2 linked regions of the Stegostoma tigrinum genome follow. The protein of the gene in region 2 interacts with the protein of the main gene of each other region in a pairwise test. Links are inferred from orthologs where the notes say so. Each region holds a gene or a part of one and is shown on either strand. Other genes may lie near its edges. The genes, in order: pre-mRNA splicing regulator USH1G-like and ush1c.

Region 1 (9,829 bases), on a different chromosome or scaffold from region 2:
TGTTTTCGTTAGAGAGAAGAAGGTTGAGAGGTGACTTAATTGAAGCATATAAAATAATCAGAGGGTTAGGGTGGATGGGGACAGCCTTTTTCCTAGGATGGTGACGGCGAGCACGAGGGGGCATAGCTTTAAATTGAGGGGTGAAAGATATAGGACAGATGTCAAAGGTGGTTTCTTTACTCAGAGAGTAGTAAGGGAATTGAACGCATTGCCTGCAACGGTAGTAGATTCGCCAACTTTAGGCACATTTAAGTCGTCATTGGACAAGCATATGGACGTACATGGAATAGTGTAGGTTAGATGGGCTTGAGATCGGTATGACAGGTCGGCACAACATCGAGGGCAGAAGGGCCTGTACTGTGCTGTAATGTTCTATGTTCTATAATAAACTCTGATGTTTTTCTCTTGCTTTACAGTGCAAGAGACCTCACATTTGCAGAGACTGAACTCCATTAGCCACATGTTTTCCCACTCTGGTGATCTCCCTGTCCCTGCTCTGACCCATAATGTTTACTGTGTTACCAACATCGTCAGGATATAGGCTTCACCGTCCCTGCCATTTGTGTGGTGGAGATCTGACTGCGCCGAAACCGCCAGACACCAACTGGTGGGATTTCTACACTGTCTATGAATTATTAAGCAGAGACCGGAGAATTGACACACAGTTTCGCCCAGTATTTTCTTATTGGTACTGACCTCCATTCTGGATGCATTATATAATATTTACACTCTGCCTTTTATTTCTCAGTCATTAGTGTTTGGTTCTCGTTCAGTAACCTTACAAAGATTATGTCACAATCATTAATCTTTCAGTGTGGCTCTCTCTGCACCAGCAGGCACTCACTGTCCCTCTCTCTGGGAGAAAGCAGACTAAAGAGCCCGGGATCCTGTACAGAGCAGGATCCCAGGACTGAGCTGACCGTTGAATGGCTAAGGGACTATGACCTCCCCAAGACTCAAGAGGGACTAGGGACAGGGAAATCAATTTTGCACCAGCTCCGCTCTTTCTGTAGCTGTTTCTCTTCCAAACTCTGGATTTGCCACATGGCAGAGACAATTTTGGTAAAAGATCCTCCTTTGTGCACGGCAAGACTCCACAGATATCAAACAAAGCCTGAGTGAGGTAAACACATGCTTTTGCCAACACAAAGCGAGGGTCATCTGCAGTGATAGATAGTGTTTACCCTTCCCCTCCACTCAGCACCTCCTCACCTCTCCCATTGCCCTTCTCAAAACGGCAGGGGTAGAGTTGGAGGCAAGTGGCAGCTGCTTTCTAGGCCCTTGCCCTTCAGAGGTGCACGCAGGCAAGCTATTGGACCATGGAAGGCATCACAGCTGAGCCTGACACTGTCCTCAGCATCTCTCTAAGGTGAAGGGACAGGAAGCTTCAGCAATTACAAACGTGAATGGGTTTGAAAATGTTTTGTGAAGACAATCAAACATTTCAGGGCACAAGGGATGGCAAAGGGGTGGATTCAGAGACTGGGGGTGAACTGCACTTATAGAGTCATAGAGTCATACAGCATGGAACAGAGCCTTCGGTCCAACTCGTCCACGCCGACCAAGCTTCCCAAACGAAACCAATCTGTTTACCAGTTCTGAGGAAGGGTCACCACACCCAAAACATTGACTCTGGCTTTCTCTTCACAGCTGCTGCCAGACCTGCTCAGCTTTTCCAGCAACTTCTGTTTTTGTAAACTACTCTCACGTGCCTACATTTGGCCCATATCCCTCTAAACCTTTCCTATTCATGAGCCTGTCCAAATGTCTTTTGAATGTTGTAATTGTACCAGCCTCTACCACTTCCTCTGGCAGTTCATTTCATACACACACCACCCTCTGTGTGAAAAAGTTGCCCCTCAGGTCCCTTTTAAATCTTTCTCCTCTGATTTTAAAAATATGCCCGCTCATTTTGAACTCACTCAAATGGAAAAGACCTTTGCTATTCACCTTATCTATGCCCCTCATTATTTTATAGACCTCTATGAGTCAACCTCATAGGCTCCAGAGAAAAAAGTCCCAGCCTAAGCAACCAATCCTTATAACTCAAACTCTCCAGCTCCAACAACATCCCGGTTAATCTTTTCTGAACCCTCTCCAATTTAATAACATCCTTCCTCTAACATGCCAACTAGAACTGTACTCAGTACTCCAAAAGTGGCCTCACCAATATTCTGTACAGCTGCAACATGACGTCTCAACTCTGTATTCAATGATCTGAGCAACGAAGGCAAGTGTGCTGAACGCATTCTTAACCATCCTGTCTACCTGTGATGCAACTTTCAAAAGAATTATGTACCTGAACCCCTAGTTCTCTCTGTTTGACAACACTGCCCAAGGCCCTACCATTAATTGTTTAAGTCCTGCCCTCGTTTCTTTTACCAAAATGCAACACCTCGCATTTATCCAAATTAAACTCCATCTGCCATTCCTGTGTCCATTCGCCCCACTGATCAAGAAATCTTAGATATCCTTCTTCAATGATGACTGTACCACCAAACTTGGTGTCATCTGCAAACTTACTAACCACGCTTCCTATATTCTCATTCAAATCATTTAAATGAATGACAAACAAAAGTGGACCCAGGACAGATCCTTGTAGAACACAGCTGGTCGCAGGCCTCCAGTCTGGAAAACAACCCTTCACCAGCACCCCCTATCTCCTACCATCAAGCCAATTTTGTGTCCAGGTGGCAAATTCGCTCGGAATCCCATGTGATCTAACTTTACTAATCAGTCTACCATGCAGAACCTTGTCAAAGGCTTCAGTAAAGTCCACGTAGACAACGCTCTGCCCTCATCAATCTTTTTGGTTACACCTTCAAAAAACTCAATCAAGTTAGTGAGGCATGATTTCCGACATGCAAAGCTATGCTGGCTATCCCTAATCATTCCTTGCCTTCCCAAATACTTGTAAGTCCTGTCTTTCAGAACTTCCTCCAACAGCTTACCCGCCACCAATGTCAGACTCACTGGTTTATAGTTCCCAGGCTTCTCCTTGCAGCCTTTCCTAAATAAGGCACAACATTAGCCTCCCTCCTGTCCTCTGGCACCTCACCGATGGCTGTAGAGAATACATACATATTTGTTACCGGGCCGCAATTTCTTCCCTAACTTTCCACAAGTTCCCTGGGGTACACTTGATCAGGTCACGGACATTTATCCACCTTTATGTTTTTAAGACCTCCAGCACCTCCTCTTCTGTCATGCGGACTGTTCACACGACATCAGTATTTATTTCCCCGAGTTCCCTCGCCTCTTCACAGGCACAACATCGGTTTAGTAACTCTCCTATCTCCTGTGGTTCCACATATACACGACCTCATTGATCTTTAAGGGTCACTATTCTCTCCTTACTTACTCTTTACTCTTAATACACTTGTAGAATCTCTTTGGATTATGTTTAACCTTATTTGCCAAGATAGCCCCTTTTTATCCTTTTCATTTCCCTCTTAAGAATGCCCCTACAGCCCTAATACCCTACAGGGGAGTTACTTAAAGATTCATACAGTTGTTCTCCTTAGAGGCAAGAAGGTGTTGTAGATCTGACGGAGGTACTCAGTAACGGGTGGGGGAGTGGGGGAGAGGGGAGAGGTTTGATGGAGTGGATGAGGAGCAATTATCTCCATAGGCTGCTGGGGCAGTGACCAGATGCTCAAAGGTTGAAGAAGATCAACTGAACTGTCAGAGGTGAGATGGGGAAGAGTTTGGTTAGGATCCAAAATACGCTCAAAGTAGAATAGCAGCTGGGGGAGGTGCTGGCCTAGTGGCGTCGTCAGTAGACCTTTTAATCCAGAGACTCTGAGGGCCTAGGCTCAAACCCTGCCACAGCAGATGGCAGAATTTGAATTCAATGATAATCTGGAATTAAGAATCTAATGATATCCATGAATCCGTTGTTGACTGTGGGTAAAACCCAGGTGAGTCCCTAATGCCCTTTAGGGAAAGAAAATGCCACCCTTACTCAGTCTGGCCTACATCCGACTCCAGGCCCACAGCAATTACCTGAGCAATGGGCAATAAATGCTGGTGTGGGTATTTTGACATGGGAATTGGATGAATAAGTAGAAAGACTTGGATTTATACAACGCTGATTGTACAACCTATGAAGTTCTGTGGATTTGTTATTCTGCCTTTAGCTCTCCTGATTAAAGTCTCTGTTACCAAGTAGGAAATGTGGCAGCTAGATGGCATGCAGCAAGATCCCACACTCAGCCATGCTATAACAGTTAGACAATGGGTTCTTTGGGCTGTATATTAAGGGATAGATAATTGACAAGTTACAAGGCATAATTCTCCCTCCCTTCTACAAAGCCCTAACAGAGCCTTCTCAACATCTCCCAGGGCAAGGCCTTTTCTTTTACTGATGGGAAGGGGAGCCCCTCTGATAGTGCAGCACTCTGTTGGAAATATGTGCAGTGGGACATGAGGCCCAGGGGCCTGTGTGTCCAAGAGTGCTAGCCACTAAACCACCTGGAACACAGGAAACAAAACAAAAACCCTCCGGGGATAAAAAAAAAGCACATCCTTTTCAGCAAATGATGTATTTTCAGAATACGATTACTGACGGAAGCACAGGGAGAATGGGACTAATTGCCTAGACCTTGGAAAAAGCTGGCACAATCACAGTGGGCCGAGCGGTCTCGTTACGTGTTGTAGGATGCTTTGAATCAGTGGGAGATTAAAAAATGCCCCAGGGACAGGGTTTGGAGCCAGAGGTCCCACAGAGTGACCTACCCTCTGCTGATGATCAGCCTGACGGCCTCCAGGTTGCCATGGTAAACCGCCCAGAGAGTGGGAGTCATGCCATCCTCATCGGGGGAGTTCAGGTCCTTCTTGGTTGCTTCCTTCAGCAGATCCAGGTAACCATCCCGAGCAGCCTTGTGATATCTGTCACTCATTGTGTTGACTGCAAGTCCCCAGGGGGCATCAAGAGCCTGAGAACAAACAGCCCCATGGAGAGGGCGAGCTCATTGGCATCATCTCTTGGAATTGGCACAGCACACTGTTGCTCAGTGCGGGAGAGCTGGGCACCCAGGAGCTCAAGTGTTGGAGAGCTGGCGCCTAGGGAGCAGGACACACTGCCTCTCCTACCTCACTGAGCTGGTAATCTGAGAACTGAAACAGCAGCTCGGTGAAAGATACAGAGAGCCAGCCCACAAAACTATCAGGTCCTAGTGCTCCCACCCCTCACCTCCACCACCATGTTAGAATCTAATCATCCCTGGAAACAGATTCTTTCTGGGAATTGTGGTTTACTGTTTGAACTGAAATCAAGAAGGTAACTCTCCTTCCAAACATTCTTTTAGCATGAGTTCATTGGCATTTAATGTGCACTGACCACAATGCACACTGTCAAGATTTTTCTGACGTCACCACTGTCTTCAAGGAGATTTACTCTGTATCTAACCCCATGCTGTCCCGGCCCTGGGAGTGTTTGATGCGAACAGCGTAGAGTGAGTTTTACTCTATATCTAACCCTGGTGACTCTGTCCTGAGATATTTGGTAGGGAGACAGGGTAGAGAAAGCTTTATTCAGTATTTAACACCGTGCTGTCCCTGTCCTGGAGGTATTTGATGTGACCAGTGTAGAGGAGGCTTTACTCTTTTTCTAACCCTGTGCTGTCCCTGTCCTGGAGGTGTTTGATGTGAACAGTATAGGGGAGGCTTTACTCTTTTTCTAACCCCGTGCTGTCCCTGTCCTGGGAGCATTTGATAGGGAAAGTGTAGAGGGAGCTTTACTCTGTATCTAACCCTGTGCTGTCCCTGTCCCGGGAGTGTTTGATGGGGAGCAGTGTAGAGGGAGCTTTAGTTCACATCTAATCCCTGCTTTTAGTTTAAGTTTAAAACAGTAGATGGAGCTTTACTCTGTATCTAACCCTGTGCCGTACCTGTCCTACATAGAATATAGAACAGTATAGCACAGGAATAGGTTCTTTGACCTGACCCTGATGCCATTCTAACTAGTCCCGCTGCCTGCACATTGGCTGTATCCCTCTAATCTCTTTGCATGTTCATGTATCTGTCAAAATATCTCTTAAACATTGCTATCCTACCTGCTCCGACCACCTCCACGAGCAGCGCATTCCAGGCACCCTTTGTACCAAATCCCAAGCCATCAGCTCTGTGCAAAAAACATACCTCACACAACTCCTTCAAATTTTCCTCCTCTCCCCTTAAACTTATGCCCCTTAGTAATTGACATTTCCACTCTGGGAAAAAAGAGTCTGACCATCAGCCTTTGCATGCCTCTGATAGCTTTATGTGATTCTACCTGTCTCCCCTGAGCCTCCGACACTGTAGCCAAAGCAACCCAGGTTTGTGTAACGTTTCCTTGTAGCCCATACACTGCAATCCAGGCAACGTCTTGGTAAACCTCGTTCACATCCTCTCCAAAGCCTCCACTTCCTTCCTATAGTCTGGTGGCCAGAACTTATTTGTTTTTAAATAGTTATGGAAAAGGATAAGCCTTGCTTCAAAGTTAGACTAAGGCAAATTTTCATGGTTATGAAACAAGAGCTTTTAAAAGTTGATTAGGCAAAGGAATGATCAACAAGTGGGAGACTTTTCAAAAGAAGTGTGTTAATCAGAGTTCAAGGTAACAAGGTGTGGAGCTGGATGAACACAACAGGCCAAGCAGCATCAGAGGAGCAGGAAGGCTGACGTTTCAGGCCTGGGCCCTTCAGACAGATTATGCTTCTGTTAGTGAAAAGGTTCTACAAATACATTAACAGCAAGAAAGCAACCAGAGAGAGAGTAGGACTCCTTAAAGATCAAATGGTCATCTTTGTGTTGAACCTCAGGAGACCGGAGAGGTAGTAAATAAATGTTTCAAATCTGTTTTTTATTGTGGAGAAAGAAATGGAGGCTAGAGAACTCAGGGAAAAAAATACTGATGTCTTGAAAAACAGTTCACTTGACAGAAGAGGAAGTGCTGGTGGTCTTTGAAAATATAAGGGTGGATAAATCTCCGGGACCTGATCAGGAGTATGCCAGGGCTTTGTGGGAAGTTAGGAAGGAAATTGCAGGGTACCTTGCAGAAATATTTGCATTATCTATAACAACGAATAAATGGAGAGTGGCTCATTTTGTGCGTTTATTTAAGAAAGGCTGTAAGGAGAAGCTTGGGAGCTATGGACCGGTTAGCCAGACATCAGTGATGGGTAAACTGTTGGAGGTGATTCTGAAAGATAGGATTATCATGCATTTGGGGAGGCAAGGAATGATTACATAGAGTCAGCATGGTTTTGTGTGAGGGAAATGTTGTCTCTCAAACTTGATTGAGTTTTTTGAGGAAGTAACCGAGAAGATTGATGAGAACAGTGCATTAGACATTGTTTACTTGGACTTAAGTAAATGGTTCCGCATGGTAGACTAATTAGTAAAGTTAGATCAAATGGGATTCAGGGCGAGCTTGCCAATTGGATACAAAACTGGACCGACATTAGGAGACAGAGTTGGTGATAGAGGGTTGTTTTCCTTCGGTTCGTGACCGAGCCATCTAGAGCCTGATGGACAATGCACTTGGACACCTGGGACACCTCGCGTTCCCTTGAGGCAGCACAGGCATGCGGTGGGTGTCTGGATGAACTGACCCCTGTCCATTTGGAACTCAACACTGGCACTGCACCGTGGACCCTCTCGTGGCATCATGCCCAACAATCTGAGCCATCTCAGGGACATCCTCCCAGTGCCCTTTTGGAAAGAATGGAGACGTTGATGTTGCACACTCTCCACTGCTGTGCCTTTACCCACTGCCCAGATATGCATTTGCATAATCTGTTACCCTCCAGCAGCAGAGATCCACAGTGGAGGGCCCTCTATGAATGGCTCCTCTCCTGTTACATCTGGGGGCCTGGGATGGAGGGTGCTGCACACGGTGGCCCCATGCCACCGGTGAAAGAGTAAGTTTACCAGGCGCCAGACCATGTGCACGTTCGGCGTGCCTGAAGAAGATGGCTCTCCACTTCTGTGTCAAGTCTGTCCAGCTGCAGCCCCTTTTTAGGTTTTTTGCAGGGACATGCTGTTACAATTTTGGCTGCATGTCAGCACCACGTCCCTGATCTATATGTACCCGGTGCAGGTAGGGATGGACATGTCTATGAGCCTTCTCCTGGGTCTTTGCTCCTGGGCCTGGCTAAGATGGGCATGAACAGGACCGGGCAGGGGTCCAAAGAGGGGCCCATCATTCCTGACTCTCTGCTCATCTTCAGCAGTTAACTCTGTGCTCAGTTGTCCCTGGAGAGGGAGCAGGTGGTGCACACTGACATGTTTGAGGCCGTTTGAGAATGCTGGGCGCTGCGAGAGCTGGAGTGCATTATCAACCTGGATAATGATTCTCTGATTTAGTTAATTTTCTCCAAAATATAAGTTTCCGTTTTGTCTTTTAAGCTTGCATTTGGTTTTGGTTTGGTGTCCCAGGAAGAGGTCTGTCATACTTCCCCTTTGTTCCGATTCTAGACCCTGGAAGATCCAAGGGGCTGTTATTTTAGCCCCGTACTGCCCCTGTATCAGATGCACTTGATGGGGATCAGTGTGATCAGTGCAAGGGACATTCCTCTCAATTTTAAACCATTGTCATCCCTGTCTCATGGGGGTTCAGAGGGGACGGGGCAGAGGGGGTTCATTTATTCAGTGTAGAGCTGGATGAACACAGCAGGCCAAGCAGCATCTTAGGAGCAGGAAAGCTGATGTTTCGGGCCTAGACTCTTCATCAGATTTTTCTGAAGAAGGGTCTAGGCCCGAAACATCAGCTTTCCTGCTTCTCTGATGCCGCTTGGCCTGCTGTGTTCATCCAGCTCCACACCTTGTGATCTCAGATCCTCCAGCATCTGCAGTTCCCACAACCTCTGAAACTCATTTATTTAGTTGTTGATTTATTTGTTTAATTATTTGTTTTCTTTGATTTTTTCTTGGGTTTATTTTTATTTTGGCCCCCTCTGGTCACTGCTCAAAAGAGATTGGTGGGGACGGAGTCAAGGGAGAACTAGTTTTGTTTGTTTTTTTTTAGTTTTTGGTTTCCCTAGAGTGATAGAGCCTTTAGAGATAATGGGAACTGCAGATGTTGGACAATCCAAGACAACAAAGTGTGAAGCTGGATGAACACAGCAGGCCCAGCAGCATCTCAGGAGCACAAAAGCTGATGTTTCGGGCCTAGACCCTTCATCAGAAAAGTTTTGTTTTTACAATGTCAAGGCAGCTTTATCTTCTGTTTTGAAACAGCAGAGGGGGCTTTGCCATATGTTTCACCCGGTCCCGGGAGTGTCTGACGGGGCTGGTGTCGGGAGTGGGGAGGGTCTTGGTTTTTTTTGTTTACACCTTTTGATAAAGAGAGTAGAAAGGCTTTTCTTCGAACTGGAGGCCTGTGACCAGCAGCATTCCACAGGGGTCAGTGCTGGGTCCATTTTTGTTTGCCGTATATATTTGGATGAGAATTTAGAAGGTAAGGCTAGTAAGTTTGCAGATGACACCAGAATTGGTGATGTAGTGGACAGTGAAGAATGTTATGTAAGATTGGAAAGGGATTTTGATCAATGGGCCAATGAGCTGCGGAGTGGCAGATGGAGTTTAATTTGTATAAATGCGAGGTATTGCATTTTGGTAAAACAAACTAGAACAGGGCTTATAAAATTAAAAGCAAGACCTTGGGTGGTGTTGTAGAACAGAGATCTAGGGGATTCAGGTACATAATTCTTTGAAATTTGAGCCACAGGTAGACAGGGTGGCGAAGAAGGCGTTTAGCATGCTTGCCTTCATTGTTCAGACCATTGATTATAGGAGTTAGAGTGTCATGTTGAGGTTGTACAGGACGCTTGGTGATGCCTCTTCT
Region 2 (10,378 bases):
GCACCATCCATCTGCTCTCGGTCATCAGGAAAGTGATGGAAGGTGTCATCGATAGTGCTATCAAGCAGCACCTGCTCAGCAATAATCTATTCATTTGAGTTCTGCCAGGGCTACTCAGTTGTTGATCTCATTGCAGCCTTGGTTCAAACATGGATAAAAAAGCCGAATTCCAGAGGTGAGGTGAGAGTGGCAGCCCTCGATATCAATGCTGCCTTCAACTAAATGTGGCATCAAGGAGCCCAAGCAAAACTGGGATTAATTGGTATCGGGGGCAAACTCTCTGCTGGTTGGAGTCGTGCACATAGTCGTGACACAAAGGAAAATAGTCGTGGTTGTTGGAGGTCAGTCATCTCAGTTCCAGGACATCTCTCCACAAGTCCCTCAGGGTAATGTCCTCTGCCCAACCATTTTCAGCTGCTTCATCAATGATCTTCCCTCCATCATAAGGTCAGAAGAAGGGATGTTCGCCAATGATTGCACAATGCTCAGTATCATTCGTGATGCCTCAGATACTGAAGCAATCTATATTCAAATGCAACCAGATCTGAACAATATCCAGGCTAGGACTGACACATGGCAAATAACGTTCATGCCAAATGCCGGGCTATGACCATCACCAATAACAGACAATCTAACCACTGCCCCTTGACATTCAATGGTGTTACTGTCACTGAATACCCCCCTCTTTCAACATCCTCAGGGTTATCATCAACCAGAAAGTCAACTGGACTCACCACATAAACACAGTGGCTACAAGAGCAGGTCAGAGGCTAGGAATATGTGGTGACTAATTCATCTCCTGACTCCCCAAAGCCTATCAACCACCTATGATGTACAAGTCAGGAGCAGATGGATTACTCCCCATTGGTATGGATGAGTACAGCCCCAACCACACTCAAAAAGTTTGACACTGTCCAGGACAAAGCAGCTCACTTGATTGGCACTACATCCACACCATCCATTCCCTCTACGACCAACACTCAGTAGCAGCATGCAACACTATCTACAAAGGGCACTGCAGAAATTCACCAAGGATCTTCAAACAGCAGCCTCCAAACCCTCAAACACTTCCATCTAGAAGGACAATGGCACAGACACATGGGAACATTACCAGCTGCAAATTCTCCTCCAAACCACTCATTTTCCTCACTTGAAAATATATCACTGCCCCTTATCTGTTGCTGAGTCCAAATCCTGGGATTCCCTCCCTCATGGAATTGTAGGTTAACCCACAGCAGGCGGACTGTAGTGGTTCAAGAGGCAGCTCACCACCACCTTCTCAAGGGGAACTAGGGAAGGGAAATAAATGCTGGCCAGCCAGTGATCCCCACATCCCACAAATGAATAAATTTTTAAAAAATCATCTGACCATTGAAGTTTCTGGACCATTATAAAATACACCTTTTTGGAATGTTTTGGTCCTGAATCTTTTCTCTACTTAATTCACTCTTGCTACTATGCAGGGTGTTGATTTAAAGTTGCAATAAAAATCCAACATCATTATTGAACCCAATTTTCTTACAATTAAAAGAATCTAAACAAGTTAAAATTTCAAACTGTCACTCTAACAATAAGCATAATAACATTAACTGCTTTCATACCCAGTTTTTGCCAGAATGACAGGGTTAAAATTATCCACGATATTTTGCTGGAAGCCCTGGGAGTATTTTAGTGAATTTTCTGATACATATTGTTTATTACAAGTCTGTAGCAAAATGCAGTCTATTGCATATCTCTATCACAAAGATTTCACGTAACTATTTCTTCAGATGGTTGCTTTATGAACTTTGTTTCCACTAGGTGGTGATGTGCAGTACATTATTTGTGGTTAGGATATTGGCATATAAAATTTATATGGTTTTACGGTCAAATGTAATAATACATTTTTCCACTCATACAAAAATGAAATTATGTAGAAAAAGTAAATAATTTTATACTTAATTATTTTCATCAAAACAATTTAAATTTGAGTGCAGAAATGGCTTCTATATTTTATACAGAACTAGTTCTTCGGCAATAATTCCATTGAGCAGAAAGAAAACTTCACAAAAAATGACAGGAAAACAAAAAAGTAAAATGTAAAGCTGCATTAATTCTTTAAAATACTTTGAGACAGTTCCCAAGTCATGGTAATAGACCCAGTTATGGGACTTTTCGGTGGTACTTTTTTTTCATTCATTCACAAGGTGTGAGCATTGCTGGCTAGGCCAGCAATTATTGCTTAGCCCTAGGTTAATTCTACAGTTGCTTTTGCAGACTTGGGTATCAGGAGGTCAGGAAATTTACCTTTACACGCAGATGTTTAGTAAAGTTTTACCACCATGACGGAAGGGATGAAGCTTGGCTGTTTAGTGCAATAACAAAAAGAGGTATAAAATACTGTGCTCTTATGTAGTAACTGGTATCTGGGAGGGGGCGCAAACAGAAAATCATAACATAAATCAGTGTGTGGGTGTACCAGAGAGTGAAAACAGGACAGTTTCAGAAAGAAATCTTCAATACTGCCAAAAACTGAGTTTAGGGAATTCACATTTTGACTATGATGTTAAAGTAATCGTCAGTTCGGTTTGCACAATGTTTCAGTTGCTCCAAGAAGATCCCAGCCAAACAAAAACACTAAATGAATGTGCAGGAGTTTGCCAGAAGGAAACAGGTTGCAGTTGTGCCAGACTGAGCAAGAAGCTTTAGAATGGAGATCGTAGTAAACCTTTGATGGGACTTGACTTTTGTAAAAATATTGCTGCGCTAAAAAGAATAGTGAGTGTCATTACTTTTCTGGTGTTTGTAATGAAACTTTCCAACCTTTTCATCTCATTTAATGTAGTTCATATTTTTACCTGTCTAATAAATGTTTAACTCTTTGTGATAAAAATGCACTTGCAGACTCTTCTGAATGTAACTGAACTCTGCAGTTTAGAGAAAGGGTAGTGTCTATCAAACCAGGTTTCAATGTGAGATCTGACTAGTCCGGTACTAATATCAGCTGCTACAAAACACTCCATTCAACAGGTTCACGACTGATCTGATTTGACCTTAACTTTGCCTTCCTGTCTACCCATGACATCTTTTCACTTTCTTGTTAATTGATACCATAAGATATTGTCACAAAATTAGGCCATTCAGCCCATTGAGTCTTCTCCACCATTCAATCATGGCTGCTAGGTTTCCCAATTCCATTCCATTGTCTTCTCACCATAACACTTGACCCCCTTACAAATCAAGAACATATCTATCTCTGCCTTAAGTACATGCAATGACATGGCTTCCACAGCAATGTGTTCCATAGACTAACCACCGTTTGGCTGAAGAAATTCCTCCTCATCTCAGTTCTAAAGGGTCATCTCTTTACTGAGGCTGTGCCATTGGGTTCTAGTCTCTCCGACTGGTGAAAGCATCTTCACCATTTCCACTCCACCCAGGCCGCTCAGTATTCTGTAAGGAAGCTATCCAACTCAATTTTACATATACTTAATAACCCTGCTGTCTAGGCAAAACAAAATCTCCATCTCCATCTCCATCTGAGTGACAAAAATAAATGTGGAGCTAGCAAGAATCAGAAGACCTTGAGAGTTGGGGGATAAACAGGTCAGCATAACATCAAGGGCCGAAGGGCCTATACTGCGCTGTAATGTTCTATGTTCTAAATGGAGATAATTTTATTTTTAAATTCTGTCCGCTAATTCTAAATGCTCCCATGATGGTAATTGTGCCTTGAGTATCCCCAAGCACTTTATACATTTCAATTAGATTGCTTCTCACTCTTCTAAACTCAGGAGATACATGTCCAACTTTTCCTCTTTACCTTTCTTCTACCCTCACCCCAAAACCACCTGAGCTCTCCATCATCCAAGGAATCAGATGGGCATACTTTCTCTGAATTTCTTCTAATGAAATTATGTCTTTTCTTAAATAAAGAGTCCAAATCTACATAGTATTTCAGATGAGATCTCACCAATGGTCTGTACAACTAGAAAAATGTTCCTACTTTTATATTCCATTACCGTTCGACAAATAACAACATTGCCTGTCAGGATGATAGGGACAGATGACTTTTAAGAAATATTTAGATGTGTGTGACATAAAGGTTATTATGGATATGCGTCCAGTGCTGGAAAATGGGAGTATAGCAGTTAGGAAGTTGTTTTTGACTGTTTCAGACTCAATTAGTGGAAGGGCCTTTTTTTCTGTGCTGTAGGCCTCTATGACTCTGTTATGTATGTCTTCCTAATCACATGCTGTACTTGCATATAACTTTGTGATGTATGTACCGAGATACCCAGATCCCTCTGCATGATCAGTTCTGTGTTTAAATCTCCCCAGTTAATTAATGTGCTGCTTCATTATTCTTGTTGCCAAACTTGACAAATTCACATTTTTCTGCATTGCACTCCATCTACCAAAGTTTTTCTCACTCTCATTACCTATTTGTATACATTTTTAGACTCCTTATGTTCTCTTTACAACGTACTTTCCCACCTATCTTATCTCTCGGCAAGTTTAGCTGCCACGTATTCAGTCCAGTTATCCAAGGCATTGATCAAGATTGCAAATACTTGAGGCCTCAGCACTGATTTCCAAGGCACTCCATTTTTTACACAAGGTTGTGGAGCGCACACAAACTGATCGAAACTTCAGGATTTAGAAATCTGTCATATTATTTGGAAATGCTGAAGTTGTGACTTGTCACTCACTGTTCTGCCACAAGCTGATGTGTGGACACTAACCCACGTGCAAAGCTAGCAATTAACAAACCAAGTGGATGTGGTGAGAATTTCCCAATCCAAAAATAGATCTGGCCCTGAAGAGATAATGGGAACTGCAGATGCTGGAGAATTCCAAGATAATAAAATGTGAGGCTGGATGAACACAGCAGGCCAAGCAGCATCTCAGGAGCACAAAAGCTGACGTTTCGGGCCTAGACCCTTCATCAGAGAAGGGTCTAGGCCCGAAACGTCAGCTTTTGTGCTCCTGAGATCCTGCTTGGCCTGCTGTGTTCATCCAGCCTCACATTTTATTATCCTGGCCCTGAAGAAGCATTTTTGTATTTGTGGAGTGATACAAAATGTCTCTCTTATGATTAACTTAAGTTGTTTAAAACCAAGCTTTGTGAATAATTCTTTAAAAATATTTTTGTGATGTTTCAGTATGTAGCTTCACCCCATGCATACATGCTAGTCTTTAATTTGCTTTTGTCAATTTTTAAAACAGTGACTTTATGGAAGCGCTTTTCATTGATTTAGAGAATTCTTTGGCTGTTCATACAGCTTGATGACATCTCGATGCAGCTGCATAGAAGGATTCCCCAGAAAACAAGAATCAAGTACAGGGTGAGAGAGAAAAAAAGCCAGGGAGATCATTGCACCTCCAGTGCATCTATGCTTCAGCACTGTGCAAAATTCAGACCATTGTAAAACACTGCATTTATGCTAATTCTCATTTGCAGTAGGTATTATACATTTTGATAAACCAAAGCTAAATCTTGGTGAACTTCAAAAAGACAAAGCTGCGCCACTACAGGGTGCAGTATAAATTTGTGATTCTATTTGATGCCAAGTTTCTGATCTTAAATATAATGATTTCAGGAGGTACCAAAACAGAAATCAAGCCTTCTCCCCACAGGAAGAGTAAGAAAATCAAATAAATAAAACGCTCACATTGCTTGCCTGCATCTATTAATTAATGGTCATGTGCAGCCCCATGGATTGAAATCTCTTAGGTCAGTGGTAATGTCCCTATCTCTGGACTTGAAGGTTTAGGTTCAAGTCCCAGCTGCCAATGAGGTGTGCTATATAAGATTTGAAGTAGTTGATGAAAAATTTGGGGAGCAGGTGTTGTAGAGGTAATGTCAGTAGCTGAACAATTCAGAGCTCCACGCTAAACCTGTGCGGACTATGTTCAAATCCCAGCACGCAAAATACTGGAAATTGTATCGCTATATCTCGGCCAAAGGACGTAAATGCAAGTTCCACCTACCGACATGCGTCGTAACATTTGCCGGAAGCACGCTCGGGGTCTTCCTAGCTCTGGGCCAGAAAATTTAGGTTCAAATCTCTGAATTGGTGGAGGTGTGTCATAACGTCTCTAAACAAAGTGATTAAACAAATGTTCTTTCTTTTAAAGCAAGTCCACGGTGTTTTGCTCAAGGAACCTTGAAATAAACACAGAAAAAAACTATTAAGACACCTTAAAACATAAGCTCGGTATTATATACATGAGATTTATTTGGATTGTGTTTGCCTGCGCAAGATGGGTCTTTAAAAAATAACTGAACAAACCGCTTTATAAATGAACGCGATCATTTTAACAACTTAAAGTAAAGCAATGCGGTAACAGCAGAAGCATACATGCGAACGGTGATACTTCACAGAGACACAAATCATGTTTAAAGTTTGTTTTCTTATCTCGCCCTGTCTGCTGTCATTAACTGCAAGCTCTCCACACCCAAAGGGTTGAGAGGAAAAGGGGCCGGTCATTCCTGGTTCCCATCGCATCCAGCCTGCCAGAATGGAGAAAAAGGTGGCCAGAGAATTCAGACGTAAGGTAGGGAGCGAGGGAAGTTGCAAAATTTAAAAACTACGCAGCTTTTCACTTATCTTGAACGTATTTCTGTTAGCGTTAGGACGTTGTTGCTGTGCTCAAAGAAGAGTTCGTAAGCTTAGGTTATGAGAGACTATGGACCCAGCTGTATCAATAACAAGTGGGGGAAGGGCATTTGTTAGTTTCCCGAAAAAATGTCTATTTCCATTCAGCTCTGTTTTCGTAGTGTTCAAACGGTGTACCTGGAGTAAAACGCCTTTAAATGTTGATATTTGTGATAAAGTTTCCGCAATGTTTCCCCTGTTCTGAGCAATCGCTCTGCCCAGGAAACGATCTCACTCAACCCTGGGAGTCGAGCGCCGTCAGAGGAGCAGGGGAACACATACTTCCATAAGCTCTTGGCAGTAGATTGAACACAGTGAACCCATTGAAATGCGATATCGTAATGAAAACTATTTACAACTGCGCGAAGAAATCCAGTATTTTGCATCTAGACACATGTTAAGGCGCCTGGACTCTAACGTATATTGGGAACGTTGTACCTTAACAAAGGCATTGCCTTCCAGACTCTATATAACAAAATCGATACAATAAAATGAAGAGTATTACTGATGTCGCAATCAAACTTAATAGTAAATTAGTTTTTATTTCTCTTCATGCTATTTCCAAAGAAGCTAACAATCTTCATTGAACCCCGTATAATGCGGCGATCATACAGTTCTCAATAAATAGAGGTTTTTTTTTCCTGGCAGAATCCATATTTCCAACCAAGTGGGTTTAGGTCAGTTCAGTTCCTGCAATAAAGTCAATTGAATGAGTGTTTTTAAAAATATAGTTTTCAATGTTGCTTTAATATTTGAGTGATTATGGATGCCTCGTCTATAATTACCTAAGCGTTATGGAGCACAAGGCATATCTCAGCATTGATGCCGCTGCAGGCTCTGTAATAAATGAGGACTTCCCAGCCAAGACAGTAAGGTCTGGGCATTCCAATAGATTCCAGTAGCACGTCCTGATTGAGGGAAGACCAAATAGATTTCCCACTCTTTATTGTTGCAAGTGTGTGTGTGTCGAGGTAGCGGAGTTAGAAACAATGTTTTGTAACACCATAAAGGCAGTACACTCATGTAATAGCACTAAACTATTTAATGTCCTTGGCATTTTGTTCTAACCCTTTGACTGTGAACAGGAAGAAAGTATGGCAAAAATATATAAAAAGCAACAACTGCCTTCATCTGCCTCCACCCTTTTCTCCAGAATTTCCTACCCAAATATCTGCATCTCCCAATCTTGCTTTACTCCTTAAGGAGTTTTCTAATTCTTTGACCAAGCATAACTGCCTTTTTTCCCCTCTTTTTCAGCTTTTTAAAAAAATTTGCTTCCACGAAGTACCTTGGGATGTTTATTATGTTGAAGAAACCAAAGATGTTGCAAATTATATTGCAGCAAGTTTTAAAATTTACGTGGGTTCCATTCCTGCCATCACCTTCTCAGCTCCTTGCTAACTTAACCATTCATTAAGTACCAACTAAATAGTGACTGATTGAAAAACCTGTCTGTTATAGAAAAGGTATGACATTGGTATCAAATTTGCTTTCACTTGACATTGACATTTGTGCACTTCATGTGATGTATCACCCTGTGAGTATTCACTCTATTGAGGTTCATTGTCCAACTCCTATGCTTCAAACATAGATCAGCAAATTCTGTACAGTGATTGCACAGCAATTTTTTTTCTAATCTTTATAGTTTGATATCTTACCATGTGGTTCATTTTACTAACACAGATTGTTAGTTCTTCGTGGTCATCTTTCTCGCAGTTCAGTGGTGAACATTGTGGTTTAATTGCTGACCATGAAATAAGAGCTGCTAACTTTGTCATTCTGCAACTCACTTTTGCATAACCTTTGAATATCGCCCTGAAATAGCAATATCATGGAATAGGATTTAAAAATTATGAAGCTGCCATGTAATCACTCAGAATACAGTGAAGTGTGCAAACTGTGATAAACATTGGAGCATAGAACAATACAGCACAGTACAGGCTCTTCAGTCCACGATGTTGTGCCAACCTGTTATCCTCCTCTAAGATCAAACTACCCTGCATGCCCTTTATTTTACTATCATCCATGTGTCTATCCAAGAGTCGCTTAAATGTCCCAAATGTATCTGGCTCCACTACTACCGCCAGCAGCACATTCTTCGCACCCAGCACTCTGTGTAAAGAACCCACCTCTGACATCTCCCCTATACGTTCCTCAAATCTCCTTAAAATTACGCCCCCTCGTAATATTCATTTCCACCCTGGGAAAAAGTCTCTGGCTATCCACTCTATCTATGCCTCTCATCATCCTGTACACCTCTATCAAGTCACCTCTCATCCTTCTTCACTCCAATGAGAAAAGCCCAAGCTCCCTCAACCTTTCATCATAAGACCTAGCCTCCAGTTCAGGTAGCATACTGGTAAATCTCCTCTGCACTGTCTCTAAAGCTTCCACATCCATCCTACGATGAGGTGACCAGAACTGAACACAACATTCCAAGTTTGGTCTAACCAGAGTTTTATAGAGCTGCAGCATAACCTGACGGCTCTTAAACTCAATTCCCCTGCCAAGAAACGCCAACACATCATATACCTTCTTTATAACCCTTTCAACTTGGGTGGCAAATTTGAGGGATCTATGGACATGGACCCCAAGATCCCTCTGTTCCTCTCCATTATCAAGAATCCTGCCATTAACCCTGTATTCTGCATTCAAATTTGACCTTCCAAACCGAATCACTTCACACTTTTCCAGTTTGAATTCCGTCTGCCATTTCTTTGCCCAGCTCTACATCCTTTCAATGTCCCATTGCAACCTACATTATGCACAACTCCACCAACCTTCGTGTCATCAGGAAACTTACTAACCCACCCTTCCACTTCCTCATCATTCATAATCAAACTCTGATTTTCCAAATAATCATAAATACTATCTCTCAGAATCCTCTCCAATAATTTGCCCACCACAGAAGTAAGACTGTCTGGTGTGTAATTCCCAGGATTATTCCTATTCTCTTTCTTGAACATTTGCCACCCTCCAAATCATTGGTACTACTCCAGTGGACAGTGAGGACACAAAGATCATCACCAAAGGCGTAGTAATCTCTTCCCTTGCATTTCGTAGGAACCTTTGGTATATTCTGTCTGGCCCAGGGGTCTTATCTATCCTCATGTTTTTTTTAAATTTCTAGCATGTTCTCCTTCCTAACATCAACCTATTTCATCATAGCAGCCTGTTTCATGCTGTCCTCACAAACATCGAGGTCCCTCTCACTGGTGAATACTGAAACAAAGTATTCATTAATGACCTCCCCAACCTCCTCTGACTCCACACAGAAATTCCCTCCACTGTCCTTGATTGGCCCTACCCCAACTCTGGCTATCCTCTTATTCCTCAAGAAGGAGTCAGAGGAGGTTGGAGAGGCCCTTAATGAATAATTTGCTTGAATACTTTGCTGGAATAGGTTGATGTTAAGAAGGAGTACATGCTAGAAATGAAAATGCCTCCATGGGTAGGATTAAGGAAGACCCCAAGACACCTTGGGGTCTTCCTTAATTCTACACATGGAGTCTTTTTCAAACCCTCTTCTAAGTCCATTCTTCAGACTTCCTGAAACTACCTGGCTACCTCTAGAGCCCTATCCAATCCTTGCTTCCTCAACCTTAAGTAAGCTTCCTTCTTCTTCTTGACTAGATGTTCCACATGTCTTGTCATCAAAGGTTCCTTCACCTTACCATCACTTCCTTGCCTCAGTGGGACAAGCCTATCCAGAATTGTAGCAAGTGCTCCCTAAACAA

Evidence for each region.
Region 1: the proteins of ush1c (region 2) and pre-mRNA splicing regulator USH1G-like interact in binary tests that used the Homo sapiens proteins (3 or more experiments, as listed by UniProt). The link is inferred for Stegostoma tigrinum from reciprocal best matches to the Homo sapiens genes USH1C and USH1G.

The regions. Positions count from the first base shown.
Region 1 is NC_081375.1:53,410,080-53,419,908, forward strand, and holds the start of pre-mRNA splicing regulator USH1G-like, read right to left. Parts: upstream 4,902-9,829; coding exon 4,738-4,901; intron 1-4,737. UniProt on the Homo sapiens protein: Plays a role in pre-mRNA splicing by regulating the release and transfer of U4/U6.U5 tri-small nuclear ribonucleoprotein (tri-snRNP) complexes from their assembly site in Cajal bodies to nuclear speckles, thereby contributing to the assembly of the pre-catalytic spliceosome on target pre-mRNAs.
Region 2 is NC_081370.1:23,143,911-23,154,288, forward strand, and holds the start of ush1c (harmonin), read left to right. Parts: upstream 1-6,421; 5' UTR 6,422-6,504; coding exon 6,505-6,540; intron 6,541-6,779; exon of another isoform or gene 6,780-6,887; intron 6,888-10,378. UniProt on the Homo sapiens protein: Anchoring/scaffolding protein that is a part of the functional network formed by USH1C, USH1G, CDH23 and MYO7A that mediates mechanotransduction in cochlear hair cells. Required for normal development and maintenance of cochlear hair cell bundles.